Diceros bicornis minor: one gene and its partners. The protein of the gene in region 1 purifies or fractionates together with the protein of each later gene. This does not show direct contact. Links are inferred from orthologs where the notes say so. Each region holds a gene or a part of one and is shown in the gene's direction. Other genes may lie near its edges. The genes, in order: LIN28A, KRI1, KRR1 and IGF2BP3.

Region 1 (7,511 bases):
GTGGAACTAGTATCCTGAGGGACACACTGTGGGAAATACTTTTCTCAAATGCACTCCATCATTCATGTTAGCAGATGGTCAGGGCTTTACCTCCAAACAACCACTCTGGATCCTACACGGAGTTTTCAAAACGCTTCAGAAATGGGAGCTGGATGTAGATGATCGCCTAAAAGAGGACCTGCTTTGGCTCTGGCCAGCTCTTTGATTTAGAAAGCCAAGGAGTTTTGGGGAGGGTGATCAATAGAAATGACAGACTAGAGCTCTGACCCGGGGAAAAGGAATCACAGGCTTGAGTCCTATTTACCAATCATATTGAATATATAGTCTCCTTCCACAGCCTTTTGGCTTCCACATATCTTGTTCCTCATTGGTAAAATGGGGACAGCATCAGTTACAATAACAACATACTAGGACTGTAAAAAGAATGTGAGTTTTGGAGTCAAACATGTGGGTTCAAATCTGCCTCTGCCACATATTAGCTGAGCTACATTATTGGGCAAGCTCTGTTGATTCATTAATCTTCAGTTTCCTCACCTGTAAGGTGGGAATATTAATACCTATTACTCAGAGATATTGAAAGGGTTGAATGAGATAAGAAAAGTGCCTTTATTCTTGACAAATAATAGCTATTATTATTATTACCTATCAGAATATAAGCTCGACAAAGGTGGGATTTTCATTTGCATTTTTTATTGATGTATTTCCAAGACTTAGAACAATGCCTGCCACAGAGGAAGTGCTCAATAAATGTTTTTTATTTTTTATTTTTCTTTCTTTCTTTCTTTCTTTTTGTGAGGAAGATTAGCCTTGAGCTAACATCTGTTACCAATCCTCCTCTTTTTGCTGAGGAAGATTGGCCCTGGGCTAACATCTGTGCCCATCTTCTTCTACTTTATATGGGACGCTGCCACAGCATGGCTTAACAAGTGATGCGTCGGTCCGCACCCAGGATCCGAACCTCCGAACCCTGGGCCGCAGGGGTGCGAACTTAACCGCTATGCCACTGGACCAGCCTCAATAAATATTTTTTAAATGTTGAATGAGTTATTATTACTCAGACCTCTTTCAGCTCTTCCTTTTATGAAGATATGAACCTACACAAGAGGAACTTGGCAAAGTACTTTAAAGGGGAGATGTTCTTTGTGTTGATACTGGACACTTTTGTCTTGTCTAAAGAGCCATTTTTTTTCCTTTTACCTAGATATTACTATTCCCAGAAACCAATACAGAAGAAACTCGCAATACTTAGCTATATCGGGTCTTATCTCCCTAAGTAGACTGCAACTTCTTGGAAGGCAGGGAATGTTTCTTCTTTGCTTTTGGGGGGTACATTTTTGGTCATCATACTATTTAGTGCATATCACTTATCCAATTCCTCCACCAAACTTGTGAGCTAGCACAATGACTGGATCATAGTAGGTACTTACTAAGTTTTCCCTGAGATGTGGACCCAAGAGAGGAAGAAGGTTTGGTCAGGAGTTCCCATCTTCCACATGGAAACAACCCATTGGGGATGAAGAATCAATTATGTTGGGAGCCATGTGTCCCTTCCTAAAGCATCCTCTGCCTCCACATATGCAACTTTAAGAGTTCCTGAACCCCTCTTGGGTTTGTATTGTTTAGACTTGAAAGGGGCAGCCTAGGAGAATAAATATTATGACTATTGCAATAAAATTCATTATTTCAACAAAAGCCTATCCAGGAAACTCTTTTTAGGTGTCTTCTGTGGGCCAGGCACTATGCTACATACTGGTAAGGATGTGGGAGAAGATCCAGAAAGAAATAACACATGAACGGTCCCAGTCCTCAGGGAGCAAATGATCCAGCAGGTTCTAGATCATAGAGACAAGCATGTGCACAATAGCTATAATAATAGTAATAATTTACATTATTAAGAACTAATTATCAGGCAGGCACTATTTAAAAAGCTTTACCTACATGACCTAACTTTATCCTCAAAATAACTCTAAGAGTTAAATATTCTCATTATCCCCACTGGACAGAGAATGAAACTGAGGCATAGAGAGGTTAAAAAAGTTGCTCTGAGTCACAGAGTTGTAAATACTAGAGGTGATATTCAAACATGGGCAAGCGACTCCAATGCCCGTGCTCTTAAGGAAAGCGCTAATAATTAGGAAAATAATTTGAAAACAGAGATTAGTCTCTCTTCTACTCTGGTTTTCTTTGAATCATAAAATATTATCACTTTCTCCTTCACCTTCTATAGCCAAATGCATAGTTATACCCATTTTTCTGAAGAGGAGCTTGAGATATTTGCACTGCTCTCACAGAATCACATACTGCTGGAAATGCCCTCTCTTTAGCACTCAAGAAAGTTCCTTCATTCATCTCAAGTGTATCAGGGTCACTGGGAGCTTGAGAAGAATCAGGTTTTCTGGGAAGGACTTGGAGGTGAGTACTCAAAAAGGCATTCTCGAAGCTGGGAGCTGAGAGCCAGGAGAGCGTGGCTTTATTCAGCACCGTGGACAGAGCTCCCAGAGCCCTCAGGACCCTGGACAGAGAAGCTGGTCAAGCCTGCCGCGGGAACAAATCTCTCTTGCGAGTGGACCAAGCGAAACTCCCTTTTCCCTCTCTTTTCTTCAGCCAGACGTCAGTCACCTGCTCCTGAATCTTAGGAACAGAGGTAGGGGAATGAATATATGTTAAGGGCGCTACTAACAGGAGGAGATAAGACTCTTAGGTGGGGAGGATTATATAAATAAAAATGCTTTGGCTGATGTACTTGGAGAACTCTTGGAAGATCTAAATTAGGGTCCTCAGTTGGGAGTGGAGCATTGCTAACGATATTTGTTAATGATATGTATTTCTTAGGCTGAGTAGCAAAAGGCCGCCGCTGTCCTTTTTATTGCCCAAAGTCATATTCCCCATCCCTTACACTTAAATTTAGTCTCTTGGAGAGCGCTCCATGTAGGAAAGAGGGAGAAATAATCTCTCCACAGCTCCTTGCTCTGCTTCCCATCTCCCCTTCCCTACCCCCACTCATCCCCTTTCTCTCTTTCTCAAATACACACGTGCGCAAACACACACGGGCACAGGATGAGAAGCACGAGAGGTTCTGCACATTTGGTGGAGAAGATTGAATTCAGAGCAAGCGGACGCCCCCGAAAGCAGGCTCTGTCCCTTTAAATGGGTCGTAGCAGTGGGGGAGGGGAACTGGCCGGAGCTGGCATTGTCCAGTTTGAACCGAGCACCGGAAGTGAAGGGGCAGGGCCAGGGCCGTGCTCTGAGCCCCGGGGCCATTGTCCATCTCCGACCAGGGCACTAGCCACCCCCCTGGCCAACCCTCTTTATCTCCTAGAAGGGGAGGCTACTTCTTCAAATGAGGAGATCTCTCACTCCAGTTCCCCCCACCAACTCCACTATGGGGAGGGGAGCACACTCTAGGATGGGACTCTGAAACCAGGAGGGTCTGGAGCCTAAGAGTGTCTGGAGTACTGGAGGAAATGCTTCCACTCGCCTACCCACTTAGTCCCTCTCTCAGCAAGGGAAAGGGACAGGGTGGGGATGGGGACAAGATGAGGGCGGCTGGCAGAGAGGAACACACTACAAGCCTCTTTGGGTTCCTACTGCTCTCCCAGGGAGCTCTACATGGGACCAATTTTAGACAGATTTGGAAGGAAAGAGGGAAGGATTCTTTACACAGAATCAATTAGGAGTGCTTTGAGAGATCCAGAAAAACTCAGTCGGAAACTTAGGGAGGCAGAGGCATTCAGTTAGTCAGAGACAGACAGACTTTGAGAGGCAGCGCCTTGGAAAGGACCAGAGATCAGCCCTGCTGGGTCTCCAGCCTCCCCGCTGCTTCCCTATTCCAGGCTTCCTAGTGTCCTGAACTCCAGGTCTATCTAAGCACACGAGGGTGGGGGGTGAGGGCGGGTCAGCGCCAAGCAGCCGGGTCAGCTCGGAGGCCTGAAGGGGAAGGGAGGGGGAGGGGAGCTTAAGGGCTGGGGGAGGGGGAGGGCTCATCCATTTCTCCCTTGACAGGTGGTTTGTGTCTCTGATTGGCCAGCGCTGCCAGGCTCACACCTCCCTCCCCCAACTCTCTGGAATGTATAATTATCTGCGCGGGGGTGGGGGTGGTGTGTGAATGTGGGGGGGAGCAGTCACGTGGTTTTAAAACTACCACCCCACAGGCCCCCCACCTGTATGCTGCTTTGGGGACCCCCACTGAAGGCCTTAAAGTGCAAGATCCCAAATTCCGGGGTAGTCAAGACTTCTAGGTCTGACGCCCCCGTCTCCAGATGTGTGTGTGGGGAGGGGGTGTCAAACCTCAAGGTTCTGAGAAGGGACACCCCAGAGGTGTCAGAGACCGCAGCGGTGGGGGAGGGCCGGAGCTGGAGCCGGAGGGAAAGGGAGGGGAAAGAAGAGGGAGGGGAGGGGAGGGGGCTGCCCGTGGGGGGTTGGGTCATTGTCTTTTAGAATTTGGGAGCCTTTGAAAAGCCGTGGGCCCTCCCACCGCTATTGTGCTGGGGAAGATGTAGCAGCCTCTTCTCCGAGCCACCCCTTTGCCTCCGGACTTCTCTGGGGCCAGCAGCGGCCGGACCAGAGGCCCGGGCCGCAGGCTCAGTCGACTACCATGGGCTCTGTGTCAAACCAGCAGTTCGCAGGTTCGAGCGTGGGACGTGTTGGGGACACCTTAGGCTGCAGGGGCGCCCAGGAGCCACATAAAAGGGAGGTGGGAAAGTGTCCCCAGGCTGGCCGAAGGACCCCAAGTCCAGGCAGCCTCTTGCTTCAGGGGGCCATCCCTGGACTAAGGAACCCTGGTGTCCCAGCAGTGTGCAGTCCGAGGCTAGGGGGATGCGGGGGGAAAGAGACGAGGCGGGGACTGTCTGGCTGTCTGTCCCCGAGCAGCATGTTGTGGGAAGAAGAGCAAAACTTTGGGGCACCACTGGCCTCAGTGTAAGCTTGCGGAGCACGGAAGGCGGCCAGGACAGGTCGTTTCTCGCTGGCTGCTTGGTAGCTGCAGCCTCCTGGGTGACCACCCACGCGGGCTGGACACTGGGGTCTCCTTGCCGGGTCTCTGAGAGGGCCCTCGAATTCCGTGGCCCCCCAGCTGAGCGCCCTCCCAATCTCCAGGTGGCTGCGCCAAGGCGCCGGAGGAGTCGCAGGAGGACGCGGCTGGGGCGGCAGAGGAGCCCCAGCTGCTGCACGGTGCCGGCATCTGTAAGTGGTTCAACGTGCGCATGGGGTTCGGCTTCCTGTCCATGACCGCCCGCGCCGGGGTCGCGCTCGACCCCCCAGTGGATGTCTTTGTGCACCAGGTGAGACCAATTCTGGTAACTTTGCCGGGGGAAGGAGATGTTGGCGCGCATATCCTAGGGTAGGCGGGCAGACTCGGTTAATTGGATTGAGGGAGATAAGGGCCCTCATTGTGCGTTCCCATCTTTGCCGTGGCACCCCAGTACTGAGTCCCTGGTAACTCCAACAGGACGGGAGTGCAGGGCAGAGCCGATTATCAGCACCCCCCACCCCTTCCGGGAACCCCTCTGGCTTACCACGTGTCTTTTACCTCTTTCCCCTGGGAAGGGGCCAGGGGGCAGGGAGGTGACCCCATGTGGCAGAAACTAAGGTTGTATTGTGCTTGCCGGTGGGGGGAGGGCGAGCAGGCTGGTCAGGGAAGCACATGCCTGGCCAGAGCAGGGCCTTGAGTGCCCAGCGCCTTTCACTAACGTGTGAATGGAGCTCCCTGGGTGAGTGAGAGGGAGGAAACCCTGCTCCAGGACCCAATGGTGGTAAAGCTTAGAAATCAACCAGGTCTCCTCACCCAGGTAGTCACCCAAAACTCAAGCCCTGGGACCTGGGTGGGTTTGGCAGATTCTTGAAGGATCTATTTGGTGACTTGAAAGCTCCTCCGGAGGACCCATCTCAGGCACACAACACAGTTCACCGGCTGTCCAGTTTGGTGGCTTTTGCTGTCCAGTTCCTACCAGGAAGGAAAATCTAAGGAGCCCAGGCCTTAGATTCCTGGACCAGGCTGGGAGGGAGTTAGGTTGCAACCCCAAGTTCTCAGTTAAAGCAAGGCAACCCAGTGGGAGTGAAATTCAGTGTCGCAGGGCAGCGGGTGGAGGGAGGCTAGCCTCTGGACCTATTCTTGGCTTGGCATTTATGGCCCCAGACAGCCGTTGATTGCTGTCCTAACATTCTTGGCCTCAAACAAGGAGTCAGAGACTTAACATTTCCCTCCTCCCTGGCCTCCCCTTCCTCTCACCCCATCCTGAATATCTTAGAAGCATTCCGGTGGTCCTGGGACACCAGCCACCCGTAACAACCATGTAAAGGAAGTTGCTGCCTGTGTCCCTTCCCGCTTTGGAGCTTGGGGCTAGACATGGGAAGAAGAAATTGCTAATCCCAGGTCCAGGAGGTTGACACCCAGGCCGGGCAGGGAGGGGTTACTTCGGGGAGGTTGGCTTTAGGAGCTGTGGGGGAGGGGAAAGGAGGATGTGGGGATTAAGAGTTGGAGCCTGAGGGATGGTATTCTGGAGGGGGAGGGGTGGAGAAGGGAGATGCTGGGTGGACTAGTTGGAGGCAGCAGGGAAGTCTCCAAGCACAGCTCTCAGCAACAACATGGTGGGGAGGAACAAGGGAGATGGGGACCCGCCAGTAAATGTTGGCAACTTGGGGTCACTGGGATACTGGAACATCTGCCAGGAGGGCCTGCAGCAGGATGCTTAGCTAGCCTCTTGCTGCACCCTGTTCCTCCCCCACCCTTACTCCCATCAGACATGTAGTTCTGGCTGGTGGCTTTGCCCCCTCCCTGTCTCATTTACATATGTGAATGATAACCCACAGGAAGTAATTGTGGGAGAAAGAAGGGAATTGGCCTCTTTAGATCTATTAAATCACTTTATTACAGGAACCAGCTTTGAATGGCCCTCCTCAGCGGGGTGGCCAGCTCCCCCACTCTCCCATTTATCTGATCACAAAGAGATTAAAATCTCTCCTGGTCTGGAGATGGACTGGACAGCTTCCCCAATTTGGGGAGGCTTGGAATAAAGGAGTCAGACCCAACATCTTGCCTTCCTTCTAAAGGCTGCTAAATAGGGAGGGGCTGAGGGGAACGTAGCCCCTCATCATCTAGGATTCCTTGGTGCTATCCAAATCCCAAGGAAGATTTTCCTGAGCAAATGGATCCACACCTCAGCCCACTTAAACAGGATCGAAAGCAACTGGGAGTCTATTGGATGGCATAGAGGAAAGCAGGGACCTTCAGATTTGGGGAGTAGAGCCCACACCAAGCTCTTTCAGATGGGTTAGCTGGGAGATAATCTGGACTTTGGGGTTTTGGAATGTCCAGGGGTATTCCACAGTTGAATAAGTTATCAAGAGGGAGTTGAGCTGGGATAAGGAATCAAGAATTTGTCTACCACCACCACCCCCCCCTCCTCCCCACCCCAAACAGTCACAGAGGACTGGTGGAAATTTCCTGAGCCTTACCTGGCAGCTCTGTCTTTACGATAAGCATGTGACTAGAGCTTGGGTTGATTCTCAAACCC
Region 2 (7,379 bases), on another chromosome or scaffold:
CGCATGTCTTCTTGGCTGGGGGCCGGGGATGCCAGGGACGCCCCTTAAGTGCTGGGATGGGAGTGGGCAACATATCCATTCCTCAGCCCTGGGCATCGCTCATCTGGGCCAGCGAAGTTGCCACCACCTCGGTCCCCAGGCTCCCGCCTCCCCTCCCCCACAGTCAGTTCCCCTCAGAGCCGCCAGGGGGCGCCTGCGAACTTCTAAGTCAGATCCTGGCTCCTCGGCTCAGAAACCTCCCACGGTTCCCATCTTGTTAAAAGTAAAAGTCGGGTCCTCACCGCAGCCCACAAGCCTGAGCTGCACTCCTCCTCCCCACCACCTGCCCTCAGCTCCTCCCTCTCTCTCCCTCGCTCTTCCTGGACACACCAGGCACGGGCCCACCTCAGGGCCCTTGCATCTGCATTGCCCTCCACCTGGCATGCTTTTCCCCAGATATCCACACGGCGCCTTTTCTCACCTTCAGGCCTCAAATCAAATGTCACCTCCTCCGGGTGGCCCTCCCTGACCTATTTCAGCGGCTTCCTTTCCCCAGAGACTATCACTTACCCTGTTTTATCAGCTCCAGAGTATTTACCACTCTGAAAAGATTTAATTGTCTTCTCCCGCCCTAAACGATAGGCATCCTGCGGCAGGAGCCCCCCTTCCCCCCGACCCGGCTCGCTCTCCAGTTGGGCGCCTAGAACACAGTAGGTGCTCAATAAATGCTCGAATGAAGGCCTCCCACCGCGACTCTCGCCACCCAGGCTCGCCCACGTGGCAGCCGCAGCGTGAGCCTCCCTCCCTCTTGCATTTGCTGTGCCAGGGCTGGCTCAGTCTGGGCCAGAACGTGATTCCTCCTTCGCTCACCACACTTCCCTTTTTATTTTCTTCGCGCTGCTTAACGCCATCTAAACCCGCGTAGTCCCTGGAACGTGCGCTCCCCACGCCCGGAACGGTTCCTGCGCGCAGTGAATGAATGAAATTAAACGCTCCGCGCATAGTAACGGCGAATAAATGTCATCGCGTGACTCAGTGCTGGAACCCGGGACCGGGCGGCCCCAGCCCTGCCTCCCTTCCCCCCGGAGGTGCCGAGGTCCCGGCGCAGCTCGCGCTCCTCTGCCCCTGACCTTTCTCCCCTGGGTCAGTTAAACCGGCCTTCTTTCCCGCCCGCCCGGCGAGTTTGAAAACCGAAAACCCCGCCATTGCCGGCGGTCCACCGGTCGCCGCGGCTCGGCCAATCAGGAGCGGCGCCGCCCACGCCGGAACGCGAAACCTCCCCGGCGACGCGTCGCCATTGGCTACGCCGGCCGCGTGGGCGGTGCGCCGCAGGGCCCTGCGCAGGGCAACGCGGCTGGGGCTACAGTGTAGCGAGTTCGTAAGAAAACAAATCGGCGGCGCTCGGGGGCGGGGCCTGGGCGCGCTGGCTCCGCCCCCTGGCGGCCAGCTCGGCGGCGGCGGCGGCGCCGGCTCAGAACAGACCCCGCCCGTCGAGGAGGAGGGAGGGTGAGTTGGGGGGAGACCCGGCCCCCAAGGGGCGGGCGCCGGGCCGGGCCCTGCGGGCGGCGGAGGGTTGGGCCCCGCTCCCAGCCCCTCGCGACCCGCTGGCTGACAGTGGGAGGAGCTGGCCGGGAGGGCGGGGGTCGCGCCGGAGCCCCCGAGTGGCGAGCCGGGCCGGGAGCCGCGCGCAGGCCGGGAGGGCTGTGGGGGCCACGCCGCCGGGCTCCCCCGCACTGATCGCGCCGCGGTGGGGCGGGGGGCTTCGCAGGCCGCCCGCGTCGACATGCTGCTGGAGGAGGTCCGCGCCGGCGACCGGCTGAGCGGGGCCGCGGCTCGAGGCGACGTGCAGGAGGTGCGCCGCCTTCTGCACCGGGAGCTGGTGCACCCCGACGCCCTCAACCGCTTCGGCAAGACGGCGCTGCAGGTGAGGCCCGGCCGGCCCCGAGCCAGGGCAGGGGGGAGCGGGGCGAGGACTGGGACCCCGGCCCCCTTCCCTCCCGTCTCCTGGCCCCGGCGGGGGCCGACTGGGGTCCGAGCCTCCATTCTCGGGCCGACGTTGCTCCTTGGAGTCCCCTTTCGTAGGTGGATGGTGGATGAGCTTGGTGGGGGAGGGGAGGGCTTCCCATCTTCCCTGGAGGACTCCTTGTTTTCTTAGTGCGGAGGATTCAGTTTCCCTGGAGAAGTGCTTATTCCGTGGATAAGGGTTCGGTTTCTTTGGATCTCGGTTTCATGGGGACGGCTCTGGTTTCTTGGGGCTTCTATGGGGGCATCTGATCCCTGGAAGGAGGAATTTATGTCTCCAGGGCGTCCCCATTTTCTGGGGGTTTCTCTTAGACGTATCCAGTTTTCTGGGGCGGATCTCCATTCCTGTTGTCTCCCCCCCCCCAGATTCATGGTATATTATAGGGGGTCCTAATGGGGGAACAGTTGCAGATTGCATGAAAATTCTTATCCCCTGGGGGACATTTTACAGGCGAACCCCATTTTTTGAGGGGGCCAGGTACCCGGGATCATCCCCATTATATGGGGCGGGGCTGTTTCTTGGAGAAAGAGTGTCAAATTCCCTGGGCATCTCCTTTCCTTTGAGAGGGCTGTCAAATTCTTTGGGGACAATTTCTCATTCTAGGAGGCCTATTTCCTGGTGATTTCCCATATCTAGAGGAGGGGGGGCTCTGGTTCCTTGGGGAGGGTCTTAGATTCCTTGAAAGTTTCCATGGGGCTATTCCCTAGGCGGGTGTCTTATTCTTAGGGGCGTGACCAGTTTCTTGGAGTCCCTGTTCCCTGGAGGCCTTGTTCTCTGGCCTCCTTGTTCTCAAACAGCTGCCCCGGGGGCTTGTGTTCCCTGGGGTTTCTTCGTTCCCTAGAGGATCTCTTCTCTGGCGTTCCCTTCTCTGAATGACCCCTCTCTCCAGGGACCCCTTTTCCTGGAACCCCTCCCTTGAGGACCCCGCCCCTCTGCCCCGCACAGGTCATGATGTTCGGCAGCCCCACGATTGCCCTGGAGCTCCTGAAGCAAGGTGCCAGCCCCAACATCCAAGACGCTTCCGGCACCACTCCGGCTCACGACGCAGCGCGCACTGGATTCCTGGACACGCTGAGAGTCTTGGTAGAACATGGCGCTGATGTCAACGCACCCGATGGCACCGGGGCGCTCCCCATCCATCTGGCGGTCCGGGAGGGCCACGCGGCTGTGGTCAGCTTCCTGGCTGCTGAGTCTGATCTCCATCACAGGGACGCCAGGGGGCTCACACCCTTGGAGCTGGCTCGGGGGAGAGGGGCTCAGGATCTCATGGACATACTGCAGGGGCCCACGGTGGCACCGCTGTGACCCGGCGCCACCCACCCCAGCGTCAGGACCGGCTGGGTTCCATGTCAGAAGAGGAGGAAAGAAACACTTTCTCCCCCAGCTCCTCCTGACCGCTGCCGAGGGGGAGGGGCCCCAGTTTGTGGCTTGTTGGTGTTGATTTCTAGAGTGTGTGTGTTTGAGGGGCATTTCTCATTTCTTTTTCTCACCCCTTTTGGTGTATTGAGTAGAGAAGGGCTCCTGCAGGCAGCAACCACTTAAACGGTTCAGTTTCCTCCACGCCCCAGGCTGCTGGGGCTGCAGATGAGGCCCAAGGGCACAGCATTTAAAGCCCCAGCCCGAGTGAGGTCATCGCGTCCAGGGCTCCTGGAACCTGGCGACCTTGGCCGGCTGTACCCAGAGAGAGACCTCGAATGTACACACTGCTTTCGGGCATGGCGGGAGGGGGGAGTATTCCAAATCAATAAAAGGGTAGTATGAGTTCATTCATATTCTGTTGGAAGCTTGTTTTCCAGTCTCTTGTACAGCGTTAAAAAGAAAAAAAGATTCTATTTATTAAGCTTTATGGAAAAAATTGTTGTGTGTGATAATTTAATGTTTTTACCCATTAAATTAAGACTTGTGCGTGACCACAGCGCCGGTGGCTTGTGATTTTTGAGTCTGCAGCGGGGAGTCGAGCGTCCGCGATGTTGGCGGGGTAGGCCCGGGGGTCGCGGGTCTCGGATGATTTGGGGGAGGGGAGAGAGTGGTAATTCCCAGGGCGCCAGGGTGAGTGAGCTGGGTGGGGCAGCGGTTTGCGCTGTCGGAACGGAAAGGAGGCAGGAAACCGCGAGTGGAGAAAGGGCCCCCAGATGTCAGCTGGGTGCCTGGAGCCGTGGGGGTGGGGGTGGGCGGTGGCCGCAGCCTTCCCCGCAGAGGTGTGACCCGTGGGCGGGGACTGCGGGCACAGGGCGTAAGGGATCCCGGAAGGGCCGGGGGCAGGGTTAGGCACTGCCAGCTAGGCCCCGCCCTCTTTAAAGTTCGCGGTGGGCGGGGCCTGGGCAGCCCCGCCTCCTCCAGGGCAGCTCGCCGCACGCGTGCGCAGTGGGCCGCAGAGCCGCCATGCCGGAGCCGCGCGGGTCGTCGGCGCTGCGGGTGAACGCGGCTTTCGCCGCGCGGTACGGCCGTTACCGGGAGCGCGAGGAGCTGCAGCGGCGTGAGTGCGGGGCGCATGCGCGCGGGGCGCCTGCGCGTGCGGGACCTTCGGGAAGTGGGGGCGATCTGGTCCCCCCAGGCTGATCTGGGGGGCTCTCCTCTCTGCCCCGCAGTGAAAGATCGCTACGGGGACCGGGACAGCGGCGGCGACTCCAGCTCCGAGTCTGACTCCAGCGACGAGCGCGTGGTGAGCTTCCCCGCCCCGGCCCGCATCCCAACCCCGACGTACCACCCAACCCATCGCGCCCTACGGGAGCGTCCAGCCCCCGCCCCCAATCCCATGAGGGACAGACAGCGCCCTCCCGTCCCCAGGGGGCTCCAAATCTCCCCCTGCCTCCCCTCCCCCGCCACGGATCCACTTACCCATCCTGATGTGTGAGGTGCCACCCCTCCGTCCCCCTTCGTCATCCCCAAAAGTCTCACATTTCTCAGTGTCCTCCGACTCTGTCCACAAAGTGCGGCATCCCTCTGCCGCCTGGGGCGCCCAGCTTCTCCCCACATCAGCCCCGATCTTCTTCCCGGCCTCACCGTGCAGCCCAGCCCCTCCTTGCTGTCCCCCTGTGTCCTCTCTGCCCCATGTCAACCTCCTGTCGTCCCAGGAAGTACCCTCCCCTTGTCCGCTACCTTCTCTGTCTCATATCCTGTATCTATGTGTGTCCCGCCCCCGCCCACCCCCAAGAGGGCGCCTCTCCTTCCTCCACCTGTTTGACCCCCACACACACTCAGACCCAGCTCTCCAGCCCCCCACCCGCCTCTCCCCAGCAGGATTCCCCCCTCCTTCCTCCTAATGTAGCTCCTCTCTCCACCCTAATTCCCACCTCCTCAGCCCACCTGCCCTGGTTGCTTACTGCCCCCCATCACCGCCCCCACCAGGGCTCTCACCACCTCCCTTCTCAAGTCTCCCTCCATCCCTTTTCCTGCCTTAGGAGTTTGACCCCCAGCAGGAGCGCGACTTTTACAGGACTCTCTCCTTGTTGAAGAAGAGGGACCCCCGCATTTACCAGAAAGATGCCACCTTCTATCAGAAGCCAGGTCTGAGGCTGCTCCTGTCTGACGCCCAGGTCCCTCATCGCTTTACCAGCCGTAGTTACTATTTAATGAATCATTGCACTCCAAAAGTCCTTAGCAGAGTGTCTTAGAGTATTACCTGTTGTTAATAACGGCTGTTCTGAGTGTGAATTACTCACTGAACAGTCACCGCCAGGTGGGATCCTGCTGTACAGCCAGGACCTGGTGGCTTGGGGATCTGAAACCTCGATCCGGCCCAGCCCAGGGGGATTCTCTGCCTGGGGAAGGCAGGAGGTTGTGGGTGATGGCGGGTTTTCTGGTGGCCCCGCAGCATTGTCCTCGCAGAGCGAGGAGGAGCCCGAAGCCAAGGAGAAGCCCGAGAAGATGCGGCCGATGTACCTGAAGGACTATGAGAGGAAGGTGATCTTGGAGAAAGAAGGGTGAGGAGAAAGCCTGACTCCCCTGCCCCCAGCCTTCCCAGGGCAGGTGGAGAGGTGGGTGGGGTTACCCCCGAACCCAGCACACCCCATGGGAGCACCCAAGCCCTGTCCCCCAGCCCCCTGAGGGCCAGACAGCCCTCCCTATCCCCAGGGGGTGGCCCCCTGGGGGTCTTAGGGGCCGAAGTGGGAAGGAGCTGGCGACTCACTGAAAATGAGGATCCCCGTGTACCCCAGCTCCTGCTGGTTACAGCTCCCCGCCCCCTGGGGACAGACAGGCCTTGGGGGGTCTGTTCTCAAGCCTCCATCTTTCCTTGCACAGCAAATATGTTGACGAGGAGAACTCAGATGGGGAGACCTCCAGTCAGAGACTCCAGGTGGGTGGGGTGGAGGCCGGGTGGGGGGCTGAGGGGCCCAGGGCTGGGCCTGAGGCCACGTCACTCTCTCCGCAGGAGGTCTCGTCGAAAAGTTACGTGGAAGAACAGAAACAGCTCAAGGAAAGGTGAGCCTGGGCTGCTGAGCAGATAGGAGCTGAGGCGTCTGGGGTGGATGGGTCTGAGTTCAAATCGAGCTCTGTCACTTAATGGCTGTGTGCCCTTGGGCACGTCACTCACTCTCTCTGTGCCTCTGTTGCCTCATCTGTTCAATGAGGTTGATAATGCTCTCTGTGTCACAGCACCGCTCTGAGCTTGTCGGGGTTAATCTCGGGGCAGTGGGCAGGGCCAGCCGGCCCACCCTGAGGCTTGTTCTCTTGTGTGGGCAGCTTCCGCGCGTTCGTGGAGGACAGCGAGGAAGAGGACAGCGCCGGGGAAGGTGGCTCTGGGTTGCTGCAGAAACGTGCTAAAACCAGGGAGGAGAAGGTGGGTGCTGGGGCCCAGCTGGACCGGGGAGGGGGCGCTGGGGCTCCCGCAGACCCTCAGCGCCGGCATTCCTCCAGGCCCAGGAGGATGCCGATTACGTCGAATGGCTGAAGGGGCAGAAGGAGATTCAGAACTTGGACACCTTGAAAGAACTGGTGAGTTCCCGTGCATGGTCACTGAAGAACTATATCCTGCCCCATCTCCATCCAACCTTTTCCCAGAAACCAACGCTATAGAGGGTAGCCAAGGGCATATCCTCTGAGGATGGGGTGTGCCGCTCTCTGGGCCTCAGTTTCCACATCTGTAAAATGGGGATAATGCCACTCATAGGCTGGCCGTGACATTTAAGTTACTTAAATCCGCTTGGTGCCCGTGCCCGCCCTCCTTCCCTGCTCCCGAGTCCCTGACCTGGGTCCTGTCACCCCCTCACCCCCAGAGTCACCTTAAAGAATACTGGAACAACCCAGAGCTGGACGAAGGGGAGCAGTTCCTGCGGGATTACATCCTCAACAAGCGCTATGAGGAGGAGGAAGATGAGGAGGAGGAGGAGGAGGAGGAGGAGGAAGGGTGAGCTGCCATGTCCCCCAGGGGCCTGGA
Region 3 (7,133 bases), on another chromosome or scaffold:
TCTTCCTAGATTCCCAGATTTCCTAGACTTTCATGCAGAACACTTCATTTTTATTGACATTATTTTTCTAAAGATAGGTTAATAACATGATTAGTTTACAGCTAGGCTGCTTTACTGTGCTTTTCCCTTCTCAACTGTTACCCCTAGATCCTTTTTAATATGTAATCTTATGGAGTTAGAACAGGCCTTATTTTACAGCCATAGTTGTTATTAGCGTTACTGATGTTGATAGAGATATGTTGATTGAAGATTTCACACCTTGCTGTGAGGTCAATTGGAATAGAAAGTAGCTTATGTATGTTAGAAAATAAAAACGTGTCAATCCTATGTATTTGAGAAAACTTGTCTTGATTGCTTATTTAAAAAAAAATTAGCAGAAGAAAACCCACATAGATTACTGTGCAAAAATCATTTTTATCCCTGTTAAATGAGTGCAGAAATGTTAAACGGAAAATAAATCACACTTATTTGCCCAGTTTTCCTACTCTTTTTAATAAGAGATAAATGCACTCTTCATCCCCCAACATTGTTAAGCCACATTCTGACTTCTCTGCCCACTACCCTCTGGGTTAATTTTGTGGGAATTAAGGTCTCTAATTCCAAAGGAGAGTTGTGAGGCCAACTTGCTTTTCACGGGAAAATGAATAAGCAGGGTAAGAGCTGGTGGAACTCGTCATCTGTAGGAGGATGGCTGCATGTGGGTCTAGATTGTTTATGAGGCCAAGGAAGGGAGAAGTCACAAGCAAAATGGGTCTGCCTGCTGTTGCTGTGACACAGAGAGGACTTTCCCAGCCCAGGTTTGTGACAAGAAACTCCTTAGTTTTTTCTTTCCCTTTTTAGTGTTACTTGTACAATTTCTGAAAATAACCTTGCAGATCTGAGTACATATTTATATTCAGATTTCCAAGGATGTTAAAATAAAATGATGTAAATTGTGATTGATTTACAATTGTATTGTTATTTAAATTGCCATCCTTTGTAACGTCTCTATACTGAGAAGTAACATGGTCAACATTTTGGTGACCATCATTTCATAGACTTCCCTGTGCACACTCAAACAGACAGTGTGATATAAACAGGGTCATGTGCACGCTTGTTTTTATCATGGATACCTATTTTTTTAACTCTTTTTGCCTACTTCATTTTTCTTTTCTAATTGCCTTCATCCCTAAGGTAGCCAGCCTTATAAGCTTGATATGTATCCTTCCAAATCTTTCCCATTGTACAGTCACATGTAAACAAATATATTCATATACATATATAGGCACACATATACACACACATATAATTATTATTATGTCCAGCACATAAAAAAGAACCAAGTATTTAGAACAGTGCCTGAAACATTACAGATGCTCAATAACTATTTATTGCATGAATGAATGGTTTGCTTTATAAAAATGAGATAATTAATATATAATTATTATATAAAAATATAAAAATGAGATATATATATAATTATATATAAAAATGTATAGAATTATTATCCCATCTTTCTGTATCTGGCTTTTATCACTCAATGCTTCTAGTTCATCTCTTCCATATAGATTTAATTAATTCTTATGAATGGCTATGTAATAGCTCACAGTTATGAAGGTAACATCAATTTATTTAACTATATCCCAAATTGATAGTCAAGATGCTTTTACATTTTTGCCACCATAAATAAATAACAGCTAACACTCACTGAGTGAGTACTGTTACCACACAAAGGGCACGATCTGCTCGCCGCAAGACAAAAGCCAATCATCACGAGGCAAGATGGTGGCAGAGAAAGGGCAGTTTATTACAGCTTGCTAGCAAGGGGGAACATGGCCGACTAATGTCTGAAAGAACCATCTCCCAGAACAAAGACTACAGGCCAGTTATATAGAGGGCTGGTCTCCGGGTGGGGGAGGCATCTGATCTCCAGGTGGAGGCATCTGGTCTCTGGGTAGGGACACCCATCTGGTCTCCGGGTGGGGGCAACCATCTGGTTTTAGTTCCTGGCAGTCTTTGTTTTACTGGATATGCATCAGAGACCAGAGCAAAGCCCTCTACCCTGATCTTTCAGTTGTCCTTGATGATGGCTATCAGCATAGACTCTCTGCCCAGGGGTCATCACATTCCTAAGGAACTCAAGAGAACAAAGTTATCAACTTGTAGCAGCTGGGAGGGGCCATAAAATCCGCAGAGTTAGTCAGAGGTCATTCAAAGTTACAATATTGTTTCTTTTCTACAATATGGCTTCCCTTATGTGGATCTTGTGTTGAGCTGGTATCAGTACAACCTGCAAAGTATTTTTTTTTTTAGCATTTTCCATGTATAAAGTCACTGAGGTAAAGTTTATCTCCCCATCGTAGGAAATTGAACAGGGGTGGTAAGAAATTTGCCCAAGGCTATATAGCCACTAAGTGGCAAACCAGTCAGTGTGGCTCCAAAGCACCTTTCACTGAATCACTTCTATACAAGGCAGTAATCAACACAGTTGTACACACATTCTAATGGAATGATGCTTTATTTCTAGTTGACAGTTTCCCAGGAGTGGAATTACTGTGGAAGAATATGTGTATATTTTATATTGATAGATTGTTTGCAAAGAGGCAGTAACAGTTTACATTTCCACCAGCAGTGTATGACAGTGCCCTTTCCTCCAGTAGATTATCATTTAAAAAAATTTTTTTATTATTTCTTTTTTGCCAATCTGGTGGGTGAGAAGTGATATTTCCTTGTTACGTCTATATGCTTTTTTGACCATAGTAAGGTTGAGCAGCATATGTTCATCAACCATTTGGATTTACTCTTACAAATTGCTGTATTAGTCAAGATTCTCCACAAACTTATAGATTAGTAATTATAGATTCCTGGCAAGTCCAAAATCTACAGGGTGGCCCAACAGGCTGGAGACCCAGGGGAGAGCTGATGCTGTAATTCAAGTCCAAAAGCTGTGAGGCTGAAAACCCAGCCTTCCTTCTGACACATTTGCAACAATTAATCCTTTAGTATAGTAGCCTTTCTGGAGGTGCTAATGGTCAGACTGCCTGGACTCGAAGTCTAGCTCACCACTTATAAGCGACTGAGTTCCTTAAAATAAGGATAATACAACCCTGCTTCATAGAGTTTCTGGGAACATTAAAGGAATTGCTTCTCACTTTTTAACTTTCACCTGTTGTTATTTGTTCACTATACGGATCTGTCATTGCTTTTTGAGCAAACTGTAAGACTATAGGAATGGAATCACTGACTGTCGTTTTTAAGACACAGGATAAAAGCAAAGATCTTAACATAATCATGTGTCTTGGGATCTTCTGTTCCCAAGTAACAGTCTGTTTTATACATGTACCTCATATACGGAAATCTAAATTTTTATAGAAGATACATAGGGTGGATTTCAGATAAACGTTCCTCCTTTCACTAACACAAGGAATTCAACCTATCAAAGACTTTCCCTAGTTGTGCTGCAGGAAATTTTAGAAAAGTCAAGCAATAAGACCAATCATCAAAAGAAGTCCTATCTTTACCATGTGTAAGAACTTTTAGATTCCTAGAAGTGTAAACACTTGTAGCAGTGATGAATTTCACACCTTGAAGTCAGCCATATGCAGTGCTGGGGTAGACAGGAGTTTGTCATTTCGGAAAATCTTAGGCTAGGTGAAACACTTCAGGAGTGTCGCTTAATTACTACCTCTCCGGCGGAGACAGCTAAATATCAAGACCCAAGAAAACTACCATCAGAAACAAGGATTTGAAAACTTACCCTCCAAAAAATTATCAATTTTGGAGAGATTTGTTTTAACTTTATTTTGTTCTAAGGATTAGAAATGCAAATAAAGTGCCAGGCACAAACAAATGGTAGTTATTACCGTCACTTCTTGCTGTCGAGAACCATATATTCTCATACTTGTACCTCTTCCCAACTCCTAAGACTTACCTGATGATTATATAAGATATTTATCGAATGAACGAATAAGTGACATTATATCGAATGAACGAATAAGTGACATTAATGACGATAGCATTAGGTGCCCTAACCCTGAAGTCCGACGTCCCGGGTTAGACACTGGGGCCACGAGAAAACTACAAATCCGACAGCCCTCAATGTTCCCACAGTGCGGAACTACAATTCCCAGCATGCAGTCAAACTCCGCAGTTGCAGCGCGGAAAAGAACCCCGGAAACGAACTCTCCGGCTCTCCACGGGCCACGCACGAGAAGCGCTGCACTGAGCAACTCCGCGGGCTCAGGCGTACGCACGAACGGAGACTGCGCACATCTCCTCGTCTGAGTTCTGCGGAACTCATTTTGAGTAGAGGGATTTTTAAGTCCGGTAGGATTTAAGAACCGTGTCACTTCCGGTAACACCGGAAGCAATTTGAAGATGGCGTCCTCCTCACTGAACGGCCCAGCCACGGCGGCTGGGAAAAGTGAGTCTCGAACCCAGAAGCCGAAGCCGGAGAACCGAGGTGGGGGTGTGTGGGAAGCGAAGCCTGGGGTTTGGGTGTGGAGGCGCGATTGTGTCTTTGGCTGGCCGGGGACGCGTACGCCGCCTGAGTCCGCTCTGGGAAGTGGAGGGCCACAGTTGCTGACGGTTGGGGGTGGCGGCCGGGTCTGGCCGGTGTGGTCCGGCCACGTGTTCCTGACTAATTGCTTGTCCTCGGGTGTTCTGTGAACCGGTGAGGACGGGGACCGCGCGCGGGGGCGGCGGCTGGCGTGGCCGAGCTGAGGGACGCGGGAGGAGCTCGGTGTGTCCGGGAGCGCCGGCCCCGAGGGCGTGGGACAGGCGCGGGGATGCGGGGCGGACACGGCCGCGTGGCCTGACCCGGCGTGTCGGTTAGTGGAGGTGTGGAAGCGTTTCCGTTATTCCTGTCCGTCAGACGACACGGCTCCTGCTCCTGAGGCTGCCCCACTTTTAAGTTGACGTGTCGCTGTGGCGTCTGGTTTTGTCTGTTTTCTTCCGAGTGAATGACAGGAAGAGGCTGGAGACAGGGCCCCGGGCCTGAGCAGCCAGTCCTACTGAAGGGTTAAAAGCCTGACCTCGCTCTCTGCAGGCGTTAGGGAGGTGCTGACGGGGCGGCGTCGTTCGTGGTGGAGCGTTCACGGCAGCGCAGTATACGCACCGCGCAGGCGTCAACCCGCACGTGAGCAGGGCCCGCGCCGTCCAGCGGAAGAGAGCGTCCCTGCGCCCGCGAGCCCCGCAGCCTCTCCGTGGGGTTCTCCCCCTCCGGCACGTCAGTCACCCTCTGAATCGTCTTGATCGCTCTCTTCTCCATCATCTTTACTACCTATGCGCAAGATGCTTTAATTTTGCCTGCTTTTGAATTTTATATAAATGAACGAGGACTGTAGGCATTTTTCTGTTTCTTGCTTTTTTTTTTTTTATTGATATTTTAATGGTTTCTAACGTGAAATTTTGGGTTGTACATTTTTGTTTGTCCATCACCCCATATATGACTCCCTTCACCCCTTGTGCCCACCCCCCACCCCCACTTCCCGGGTAACCACAGTCCAGTTTTCTCTGTCCATGTGTTGGTTTATATTCCACATATGAGTGAGATCATACAGTGTTTGTCTTTCTCTTTCTGGCTTATTTCACTTAACATAATACGCTCCAGGCCCATCCATGTTGTTGCAAATGGGACGATTTTATCTTTTTTTATGGCTGAGTAGTATTCCATTGTATATATATACCACATTTTCTTAATCCAATCGTCAGTCGAGGGACACTTAGGTTGCTTCTACTTCTTGGCTATGGTGAATAATGCTGCAATGAACATAGGGGTGCATAAGCCTCTTTGGATTGTTGATTTCAGGTGCGTTGGATAGATTCCCAGTAGTGGGATGGCTGGATCATAGGGCATCTCTATTTTTAATTCTTTGAGGAATCTCCATACCGTTTTCCATAGAGGCTGCACCAATTTGCATTCCCACCAGCTGTGTATGAGGGTTCCTGTTTCTCCACATCCTTTCCAACATTTGTTGTTTTTTGTCTTGGTGATTATAGCCATTCTAACGGGCGTGAGGTGGTATCTTAGTGTTGTTTTGATTTGCATTTCCCTGATGATTAGTGATGTTGAGCATCTTTTCATGTGCCTATTGGCCATCTGTATATCTTCCTTGGAGAAGTGTCCATTTCCTCTGCCCATTTTTTGATCGGGTTGTTTGTTTTTTTGTTGTTCAATTGTGTGAGTTCTTTATATATTATGGAGATCAACCCCTTGTCAGATGTATGTTTTGCAAATATTCTCTCCCAGCTGGTTGGTTGTTTGTTCATCTTGATTCTGGTTTCATTTGTCTTATAAAAGCTCTTTAGTCTGATAAAGTCCCACTTGTTTATTTTTTCTTTAGTTTCCCTAGTCTGGGTAGGCATGTCATCCGAAAAGATTCCTTTAAACCCAATGTCAAATAGTGTGTTGCCTATATTTTCTTCTATGAGTTTTATAGTTTCAGGTCTCACCTTCAGGTCTTTGATCCATTTTGAGTTAATTTTTGTGAATGGCAATAGCACATGGTCCACTTTCATTCTTTTGCATGTGGCTGTCCAGTTTTCCCAACACCATTTATTGAAGAGACTTTCCTTTCTCCATTGCATGTCCTTAGCACCTTTGTCGAAAATTAGCTGTCCGTATATGTGCGGTTTTATTTCTGGGCTTTCAATTCTGTTCCATTGATCTGTGTGTCTGTTTTTGTACCAGTACCATGCTGTTTTGATTACTATTGCTTTGTAGTATGTTTTGAAGTCAGGAATTGTGATGCCTCCTGCTTTGTTCTTTTTCTTTAGGATTTCTTTAGCTATTCGGGGTCTTTTGTTGCCCCATATAAATTTTAGTATTCTTTTTTCTATTTCTGTGAAGAATGTCATTGGGATTCTGATTGGGATTGCATTGAATCTGTAGATTGCTTTAGGTAATATAGACATTTTAACTATGTTTATTCTTCCAATCCACGTGCATGGGATATCTTTCCATTTCTTTATGTCATCGTAGATTTCCCTCAATAATGTCTTGTAGTTCTCATTGTATAGGTCCTTCACCTCCTTGGTAAGATTTATTCCTAGGTATTTTATTCTTTTTGATGCAATTGTAAATGGTATTATCTTTTTGAGCTCTCTTTCTGTTAGTTCATTATTAGCATATAGAAATGCAACTGATTTTTGTA
Region 4 (7,845 bases), on another chromosome or scaffold:
TCTAACTGGTACATTTCCTTTTCCTTAGATAATGAAAGAATTGGAAAGTCTGTTATGAAGTTAGATATACCAAACAAATTTATACTTCCCTCTTTTCTGTCATGACCAGAGTTCTGATCTTTATTTTTTAGAAGACCAATAGCAGCTTATGTATATAATTACAAACGCACCCAAAACACCACTACCTAGAATCCAGCACTGTAGCTGTTAGCTTTTTCAGTTAAAGTTAAATGATTATTCGTTTGTTTTGTGCTTTTCCAAGCCAAATTCATATTTATTTTTTCTCACCGTCTCCACCAAACGTCAGTAAAATTAGCACCTTTCAGCTACAGAAATCGCTAATCCTTCAAGGTCGGTCTCAGCTTCTTTGGTCTTAGGGCAGCTTCAACGAAACGTGGTCTCCGCATAGTTGATTCTACCCGGAATTTTTCGTTTGCTTTTTTTGGAGAGGTTGTTTAGTTTTGCTTAGAACAACCCTGTGGACCACAAAGGGGGTTAGGAAGGGAGGGGGCAGAATGAGTCGATTTCTCTAGAAGCCCAGGAAAATTCAGCCATCTGGAAACGTATTTTGTCTTTCTAACTAAAAAAGACGTATAAATTCCAAGATGCTGGAAAGGGGCAGGGAAATGATGTGACTCCAGCTGCTGAGCATGGCGCAAACCCACGACCTCCCGGCGCTGGACGTTGGGGGAAGGGAGGGGTCTCTGCCGGCACCACGCGGTCAGCCCAAGGGGCGGGCTCCACTCGCGCACGCAACTACTCCCTACTCTTCCTTAGTTACCTCCCTCTTTCCTCCTTAAGGGTTGGGGCTGGGGGCTCACAGCTAATGGGCAGGAAAAATGAGAGCACGAACAGGAGAAGCCAATCTCACCCCTCAAGAAAACAAAACCAATGAGAGGGAGCAAAGGGTTATTTTCGCGCCACAAAAGATGGAAATCCAGGGGCGGCTCGGGGGGCCAATGAATGGAAACCAGCAAACGGCTCCGGCGGAGGCAGCCGACGATGATAGGCTTCCTCTGTCCACCAATCGGGTGAGAGAAAAAGCCCCCCCCCGCCCCCTCCCCAGCTAGGGGCGGCGTCTCTCTCCACGCCGGTTGCTCAACTTGGTCTCGGCGAGTCGGCCCCGTGGAGCGCGAAACCCCGCCCCGGGGCTGCGTTTGCGCGCCCTGTGCACCCGCCTCGCTGCCCAGCCCCGCCTCCGGCAAAGGCGCAGGGTTCAGCAAGGCTCCCGGGGGTCTTTCTCCGTGGGTACCGAGCATCCCCCAGCACCAGGGAGCCTCTTGCACGCTCGAAACAGGCCGGAAGTTCGGGAGGGTAGCCAAACACTCGCTGCTTGATCCGCCCCCGCGGCCCGCGGGCGGGCGCGCGCAGGGGAAGGACGACCTCAGGTGGAGTTGTGCTGTGAGGGGAACGATAGAGGCTCCCCGCGGCCCCCACGGCTAATTCGTCCACGCAGCTCCGCGCGGAGGGACAGAACCCGAGGCGGAGCCAGAAGGCGCCTGTCCCGCGGCAGGGCCAGGGCAGTCCAGTGGTCGAGGGCCTCCGAGGCTAGGAAGCGGACGACGAAGGATCTTCCCCAGTGTGAACTGCAAGGATCCCGCCCTCTTTTCTCCCGGCAGAGCCAGGGGAAAAAGGAAACAACCCCATCTTCTCATCTCCTGGAGCACTATTTTTGATTTTAAACAAAAATAACTGAAGGCATGTTCCGAAGAGAGTGCAGAACCAGGTTACCACTTATCACGCATCTGCTTTAAACAGATCAGAGTCCAGAAGAGCTGTTCGAAGGAACGAGAGGATGTTAAAAACACCTCCTATGAGGCCCAGGCGACGCGGCGGGCATTGTGTGCCCACCCGCGTTAAGGACTTAGGCTCTCGGCTGGTCTCAGAGGCAGCTGGGAGTTCGGAGGGGTAGCAACAAGAATGCCCTTTCCCCCTGCTCTACCTGCTCAACCTTCGCTCATAACCTGTGGATACAGCAACGGTAACCGACCTTCTAAACAGTTTTTCCTCTTTAATATTACACTGACCCATAAGAAACATTTTTATTGCCCTCAGGTCAGCAGAGAGGGAGGAGGTGCAGCTCTTCAAAGAGTAAAGAGGCTGCAGTTGGAAGGGCTCAGCCGCATCAGAGCACATACAATGGGTGGGATTCCTTCGTGGCGTTAACATTAATTAGGAGCTGCAACTGCTCCAGGACGAACCTGGAGTAGCCCATGTACATGGTTAATTTCTTATGTGAGACTCATTAAAAGACTGGAAGTTGGTTTGACCTTACATTCATTGTTGAAAATCCACCAAAGATATTTTTGTACTTGAAATGCCAGTAAAAAACAATTTACCCATGCTTTTTTTCACTCAGCCATTGAGTATATACTTATTCCTCAAATACTTGGAAGATTCGAAGTGGAGTAGACTGTATCCACCTCCTTTTTTGATATCTGAGCTTATATAACTCGTGTATGTTTTTAAGGTCCTAGATGGAGTATCCAATGTGTTACAATAATACACAGATTAAGTTCACAAGAGTCCCAGGAACATATTTCATCAAAATAGCACACACTTGTTTTAAATTCCAGCTGTTAGATTTGTTTGATAGTGACAGACAAGCAAGGGCTAGTATTTATGAAAAAAAAAAAACAAAACAATTTATCCCATGCTTTAGAAGTAGATATTTCTTTAGATCTCAGTTTTAATAAGAGCAAATAGTCAACAATCCAGAAAGCACCATTCAATTGACTTTGGAAGCAAGCTGAACGTATAAAATTTGTTCTTTTGAAAAATTACTAAAAGTTAAATGATCAGACTAGTTTATAAAATTTAAAGAGGCATTTAGAAAAGCAAATATTACTAAATGAATGAAAAGCATATTTCTCCAAATACCTTTTGATCACATGCAACAGGTACATGGAAAATAAATTCATAATTTTTGACATTTACATTTTGAATACCACAGAAGTCATAAAGGGAGAATACATATCTTTTCTTTTTTAGAACCAAAGTTCTCTTTTAAAAAAACATGAAAAAGGAAAAATAAGTAAGCTCTTTTAAAAAGTTAAACCTAACCATAAACTTAAAATTTTACCACCAAAATGTTCTTTCAAGATAGAGCTCATAATACAATTCTAAACATTATTACACAAGAACACGTTTGTCCCCTCCGTCTCAAAAATTAAAGACATTTCACTAAATCAAATGTGAATGAAAATATTGTGAAAGTGAGTTTACGTTTAAAAAGTTAGATTTGCTTGGCAGGAAAGAAAAACCTGTAAGAAAGAGCAGTTGCATTTAAAATGGATGATCTGACACCTTCCGGTTCCTTAACACAAAATTCTAAAATAAGTTCCTTTTAAAAGAAAAAATGTGTATACTCTTTACATCATGCAATAATTCCCACATATTTAAAACACTAATCTACTATTCATCTTTTAATTGGAAAATATACACTTTAAAATGCCGTGTGAGGGTTTGACAAAGGGAAAAGAACTATATCAATTGTCATAATTACTGAAGATGTTTCAGTGTAAATCTCCATATTTTTCTATTACACATTTTTCTACTAGAGAGCGTACCAAGACATTAAAGATTCTTGTTTATATTTCCATGCTATATAGAATTTCATTCACTTTTTAAAAATAAGCATTTTATATCTTTTCCATGGAATACCTGTTAAATATGCACCATAAGTATCTGGTGCAAATGAAGCCTTTGAGTGGAGTACACAATCATTAAACGACACTTGGAGATTTCCACAAGAACCCCAGCACGGCGTTCATTTCCGTATTCCTCGTCTCCAGTCCAGTCTGTTGGCCCAGAAGGCTCCACTGGGCCCAGACCCTCCCCCCAACACCCACCATTGTCCTCGTTATATACAGTACAGGGGAAATTATGAATGGTTCTCATGGCCAAATGTGGGCAAAAAAGAGGCAGAAAGAGACTCGAACAATATTTCAAGTGCGAAATACCACCTAGGGGTATCGCAGAGCAGTCTTCCTGTTTTAAGAGTCCCAAGTTCTCCAACTAAAATTCTTTAAATAAAAGTACCAGCCTACCCCACTCCTCCTCCTCTGGAAACTACAGGAAGAAATGGTTTCCGTTTAAATACCGACTTTTCCCACTCTGACTTCTCTTCTCCGGCCTCCGAGGCCCGGGACGCCCCCATACCCACGCCAGAAACCTCCGCCCCTGCGCTCCCCTCCCCCACCGGTGGCCAAGCCCGCCCCCGGCCTCATTTATCCCAGAGCCTTGTCTGAAGCGAGCAACCAATGGCAAACGCGAAGCCGAGAGCCACCGCGAGCGCAGGCGGAGGCGGAGGAGGTGTCGCCCAGACACCCGCCCAGGACGCCGCGGGCTCCCATCCCCCACCGCCCGGCTCGGGGCCGCCCCACTTCCCCGGGGCCCGGGCCCGTGAAGGGTGCACAGGGTAGGGCGCCTCTGCCGCTTCTCCCGCCCCCACCCACCGCACCCCACCCCCTCGCTGCGTTTCCGCCCCTGCAAGCCCTGGAAACGTGCTCGCGGCTTTGCCGAGGTTACACTTCTAATGTCATCAAAGCCACAAGGGGAGTTCGGAATTGTGACTCCTTGGTTTTGTTAATTACCTATTTTAAAAAATCGAATACGTATTTAAAAGTCCGGTAACTAGAGCTGAGAAATTGCCTAGTTAGCACCCCTACCCCTATCTCGTTAAAAAAAAAAAAAATCAATATTCCTCCCCTTTTCCTCCCCTCCCCCTCAGGATCCGCCCCGACCAGATAACCCTTTCTAAACTCTGTTGTGACAATCAGCTCCCGGAGCCGCGCTCCCCTCTGCGCCCCGGCTGCGGCTCCTTTAGCATTTTTTTGCCCTCTTCCTCCTTCCCTTCTCAGGGTCCCTCGCCCAATCTCATTTCCCCTCCCCCTCTTCCTCTTCTCGCTGGCTCTTTTTTCCCTCGAAACCCCCTCTAATTGAGGAGCTGGGATTCCTCACGTGAGACGTTGATTTGTAGTTTGAACACGTGGCTTATTCAAAAAGCCGGACACTCGGAGCGGATTTTTTCCGCCTCCTGCGCCTTCCTCCCTCCACCCCTCCTCCCCTCGCTCCTGCCAGTCACCCTTCGGGGTTTTTTATGGGGAGGCGGCGCCTGCCCTCACGTAGTGTGATATTTTCACCGTCCGCTGGCCTATGCCAACGGGGTTGGGGAGGAAGAGACAAAAAGTAGTTGACCCCCCCCTCCTCTCCTCCTTTTTCTCGATAATCCCGCCTCCTCCTCAGAGTTAGGAAGACTCGTTGATGCGTTTGGGTTGTAGCAAGGCTTTTTCTTTTCTTTTTTTTTTATATCTAGAGAAGGAAAAACAAGAACCCTTGGATCTGATTTTTCGCTCCTCGTTCTTGTCCTGGTTCTGACTGTGTTTGGGTATTTTAGCGGCGAGAAGACGAGGGGAACAAAACCCACCGGATCCATCCATCACTGTGGGTGGTTTTAATTTTTCGTTTCTCTCAATTTTTTTAAACAACCGCTCTTCACAATGAACAAACTGTATATTGGAAACCTCAGCGAGAACGCCGTCCCCTCGGACCTAGAAAGTATCTTCAAGGACGCCAAGATCCCGGTGTCGGGACCCTTCCTGGTGAAGACGGGCTACGCGTTCGTGGACTGTCCGGACGAGAGCTGGGCCCTCAAGGCCATCGAGGCGCTTTCAGGTGGGCCCCGGCCTGGCCCCGCGGGGCGCCTGCCCCAGCCCTGCGCCGCCCGGGCCTGCCGGGGTCGGGGGCCGGGAGCCAGGCCCGCGGCTGCCGCCGGGGCGTCCACACAGGGCCCGAGGCCCGGAGAGGGGGCGAGGCCCGGGCGCGCACCGGCGTGGGTCCGGGCGCTTTCCTCAGCGTGGGCTCGACCCGGCCCCCCGCGGCTCCCCTCCCAGCGCGTTTGCGGGCTAAGGGCCGACGCGCTGTCAGAAAGCGCCGGCGCCGGCTCCTCCGCGCTCGCCCCGCGCCCCGCCTGGGCCCGGGCGAATGCTCCAGGCTCCGGCACGCCGGGCCTTGGGGGCCGGGCGCGAACGCCGGCTTCTCCCTCCTCCTCCCTTCCTCTCTCTGCTCGTTACTGATGCCGTGGGGTTTGCTGCCCGCCGCCCGCCCCAGCCCCTGGCAGTGGGAGAACGTGGAGTGGCCTCGACCCCGCTGCGGAGTGAGGCCGCGGGCCGGTGCCTCGCGCAGGCGGCCCCGCGCTTCCTCTCCACCCGGCTGGAAGCGGCGAGTGCGACCTGGGTTCCTCCTTCTACCTCCCCGCGTCGGACGAGCGAGAGGGGCAGGAGGGCGGGGGCGGCCGGCGGTCGCCGGGGAGGGAGCCCAGCTGCGGTGCCGGGCGGCCCGCCGCTCTCCGCGCCCGGGCCACAGGCTGCGGCCTCCGGGGGTGGCGGGGCGCTCTCGGCGAGGGCGGGGGCCGGTGCGTGGCGGAGCGGCGGGCTGGGGCGGGGAAAGCTGCGCTCGGGGGCCCTCCAGGAGCCCCGTGCCTTTCGGGCGTAGTTTGTGCTCAGATGTCTCGGGGCGCTCGCTCTTCCTGCGCCTACCCTGCGGTCCTCGAGCCTTTCCCGCCACTCTGGTCCCGGCCGCCTTGAACCTGGGAGAAGGGCCCGGGCGTCCCCACCTGAAGAAAGGCACCGTAGCCCCTTCCCTAGGGTCTGTCTTATGGGAAGGCCCGGGGAGGTGGGCAGAGGGGCAGCGTACGTCCTGCGGGTGTTGTGGGGTTGGGCGACCCCCAGAGGTGGGCGGGGGAGGCCGGGGCGGGGGTAGAATGTTACCAAGGAGTGGGTCCGCCCATTGATCCCCCTCCCCACCGATCTGTAAGTTGCACACACACAGCCCTGAGGGTGTCTGCTTCCCACCCGTGAGGTGCCGGGCTTCTCTCTCGGCTTCGAGCCGCGTCCGGATGCTGTTCGGGGTCTCTGGAGGCCACTTGTGTCGCTGCTTAGGCTGTGCGGGTCTTTTGGGCCGGGAGAGCCACTAAACTCGGCCAACAGTCTTCCACCTCTTGTGTATTCGCAGGTAAAGTGGAACTGCACGGGAAACTCATAGAAGTTGAGCACTCGGTCCCAAAAAGGCAGAGGTGAGCTTATTTATTATGTTCTCATTGATTCTGTTCTCACTCTTTTGGGAGAAAAGACCCAACACAGCTGAAAACGACGTCTTTTCCTTTTATGCTTATTGGGTTTCTATATGGCTTGGCGTTTCTCGTCTTTTTCTCTTGCACTTAAGTTTATGGCAGGTGTCTGTGTGTGTGTGTTGGTAATACTGCAAAGAAATGGAAGGCTTGTCTGTGGCCCCTGCCACTGGATTGTTGTTATTGGTATGCAAGTCGCTCAAGGAAGCTCTCATAGCTAAATGTTATCCGGCAGAGTAGGTTAAGTTGCTACAACAGGAAATCAAAGTCTCAGAGGGCAGTTTTTGGGAATCTGTAGGAATTTGGAAGCAATGCGTAACCCCCTTCCACTTCTATAAGTACGGGATAGGCGAAAGCAGCTGCAGACACGCGCGGGGGTGGCGTGTCTTTCCTTCTCTGTCCCGAGTTGGCGGCGACGAGTCTGAGAGGCCTGGGAGGCCATCCGCACATCTGAGAGGAGAGGAATTTGCCTTTACCCTGTTAGCTCGATAGCCGGGATTGGAACACGTGAGTGAACGCCTGGGCTTCTCCTGCCCAGAAGCGCCTTTCAGTCACTCCAGAGTTTGTACAGGTTTCTGGTAATGCGCCTTGGTCTCCCGCTCCCCCCAACCCCACCCCACTGCCCCTGAAAATATTTTTGGTTACAAATAACCACCAAGAGATCGTGAACGCTGATTTGTGCCACTTAAGCCAGGGAATTGTACTTTTCGGAGAGC

Evidence for each region.
Region 2: the proteins of LIN28A (region 1) and KRI1 purify together in Homo sapiens (affinity purification with mass spectrometry; 3 studies listed by BioGRID and IntAct, with this or other methods). This does not show direct contact. The link is inferred for Diceros bicornis minor from reciprocal best matches to the Homo sapiens genes LIN28A and KRI1.
Region 3: the proteins of LIN28A (region 1) and KRR1 purify together in Homo sapiens (affinity purification with mass spectrometry; 3 studies listed by BioGRID and IntAct, with this or other methods). This does not show direct contact. The link is inferred for Diceros bicornis minor from reciprocal best matches to the Homo sapiens genes LIN28A and KRR1.
Region 4: the proteins of LIN28A (region 1) and IGF2BP3 purify together in Homo sapiens (affinity purification with mass spectrometry; 4 studies listed by BioGRID and IntAct, with this or other methods). This does not show direct contact. The link is inferred for Diceros bicornis minor from reciprocal best matches to the Homo sapiens genes LIN28A and IGF2BP3.

The regions. Positions count from the first base shown.
Region 1 is NC_080752.1:42,286,981-42,294,491, forward strand, and holds the start of LIN28A (protein lin-28 homolog A), read left to right. Parts: upstream 1-4,503; 5' UTR 4,504-4,594; coding exon 4,595-4,625; intron 4,626-5,094; coding exon 5,095-5,279; intron 5,280-7,511. UniProt on the Homo sapiens protein: RNA-binding protein that inhibits processing of pre-let-7 miRNAs and regulates translation of mRNAs that control developmental timing, pluripotency and metabolism.
Region 2 is NC_080769.1:8,701,088-8,708,466, forward strand, and holds the start of KRI1 (protein KRI1 homolog), read left to right. Parts: upstream 1-4,369; 5' UTR 4,370-4,384; coding exon 4,385-4,478; intron 4,479-4,590; coding exon 4,591-4,664; intron 4,665-5,403; coding exon 5,404-5,509; intron 5,510-5,816; coding exon 5,817-5,925; intron 5,926-6,244; coding exon 6,245-6,299; intron 6,300-6,374; coding exon 6,375-6,424; intron 6,425-6,685; coding exon 6,686-6,782; intron 6,783-6,859; coding exon 6,860-6,937; intron 6,938-7,218; coding exon 7,219-7,349; intron 7,350-7,379. Other genes in the region: CDKN2D (cyclin-dependent kinase 4 inhibitor D), read left to right, coding at 1,763-1,903, 2,948-3,307.
Region 3 is NC_080764.1:43,844,326-43,851,458, forward strand, and holds the start of KRR1 (KRR1 small subunit processome component homolog), read left to right. Parts: upstream 1-4,123; 5' UTR 4,124-4,356; coding exon 4,357-4,441; intron 4,442-7,133. UniProt on the Homo sapiens protein: Part of the small subunit (SSU) processome, first precursor of the small eukaryotic ribosomal subunit.
Region 4 is NC_080742.1:48,762,403-48,770,247, reverse strand, and holds the start of IGF2BP3 (insulin-like growth factor 2 mRNA-binding protein 3), read left to right. Parts: upstream 1-4,843; 5' UTR 4,844-5,501; coding exon 5,502-5,676; intron 5,677-7,014; coding exon 7,015-7,075; intron 7,076-7,083; exon of another isoform or gene 7,084-7,845. UniProt on the Homo sapiens protein: RNA-binding factor that may recruit target transcripts to cytoplasmic protein-RNA complexes (mRNPs). This transcript 'caging' into mRNPs allows mRNA transport and transient storage.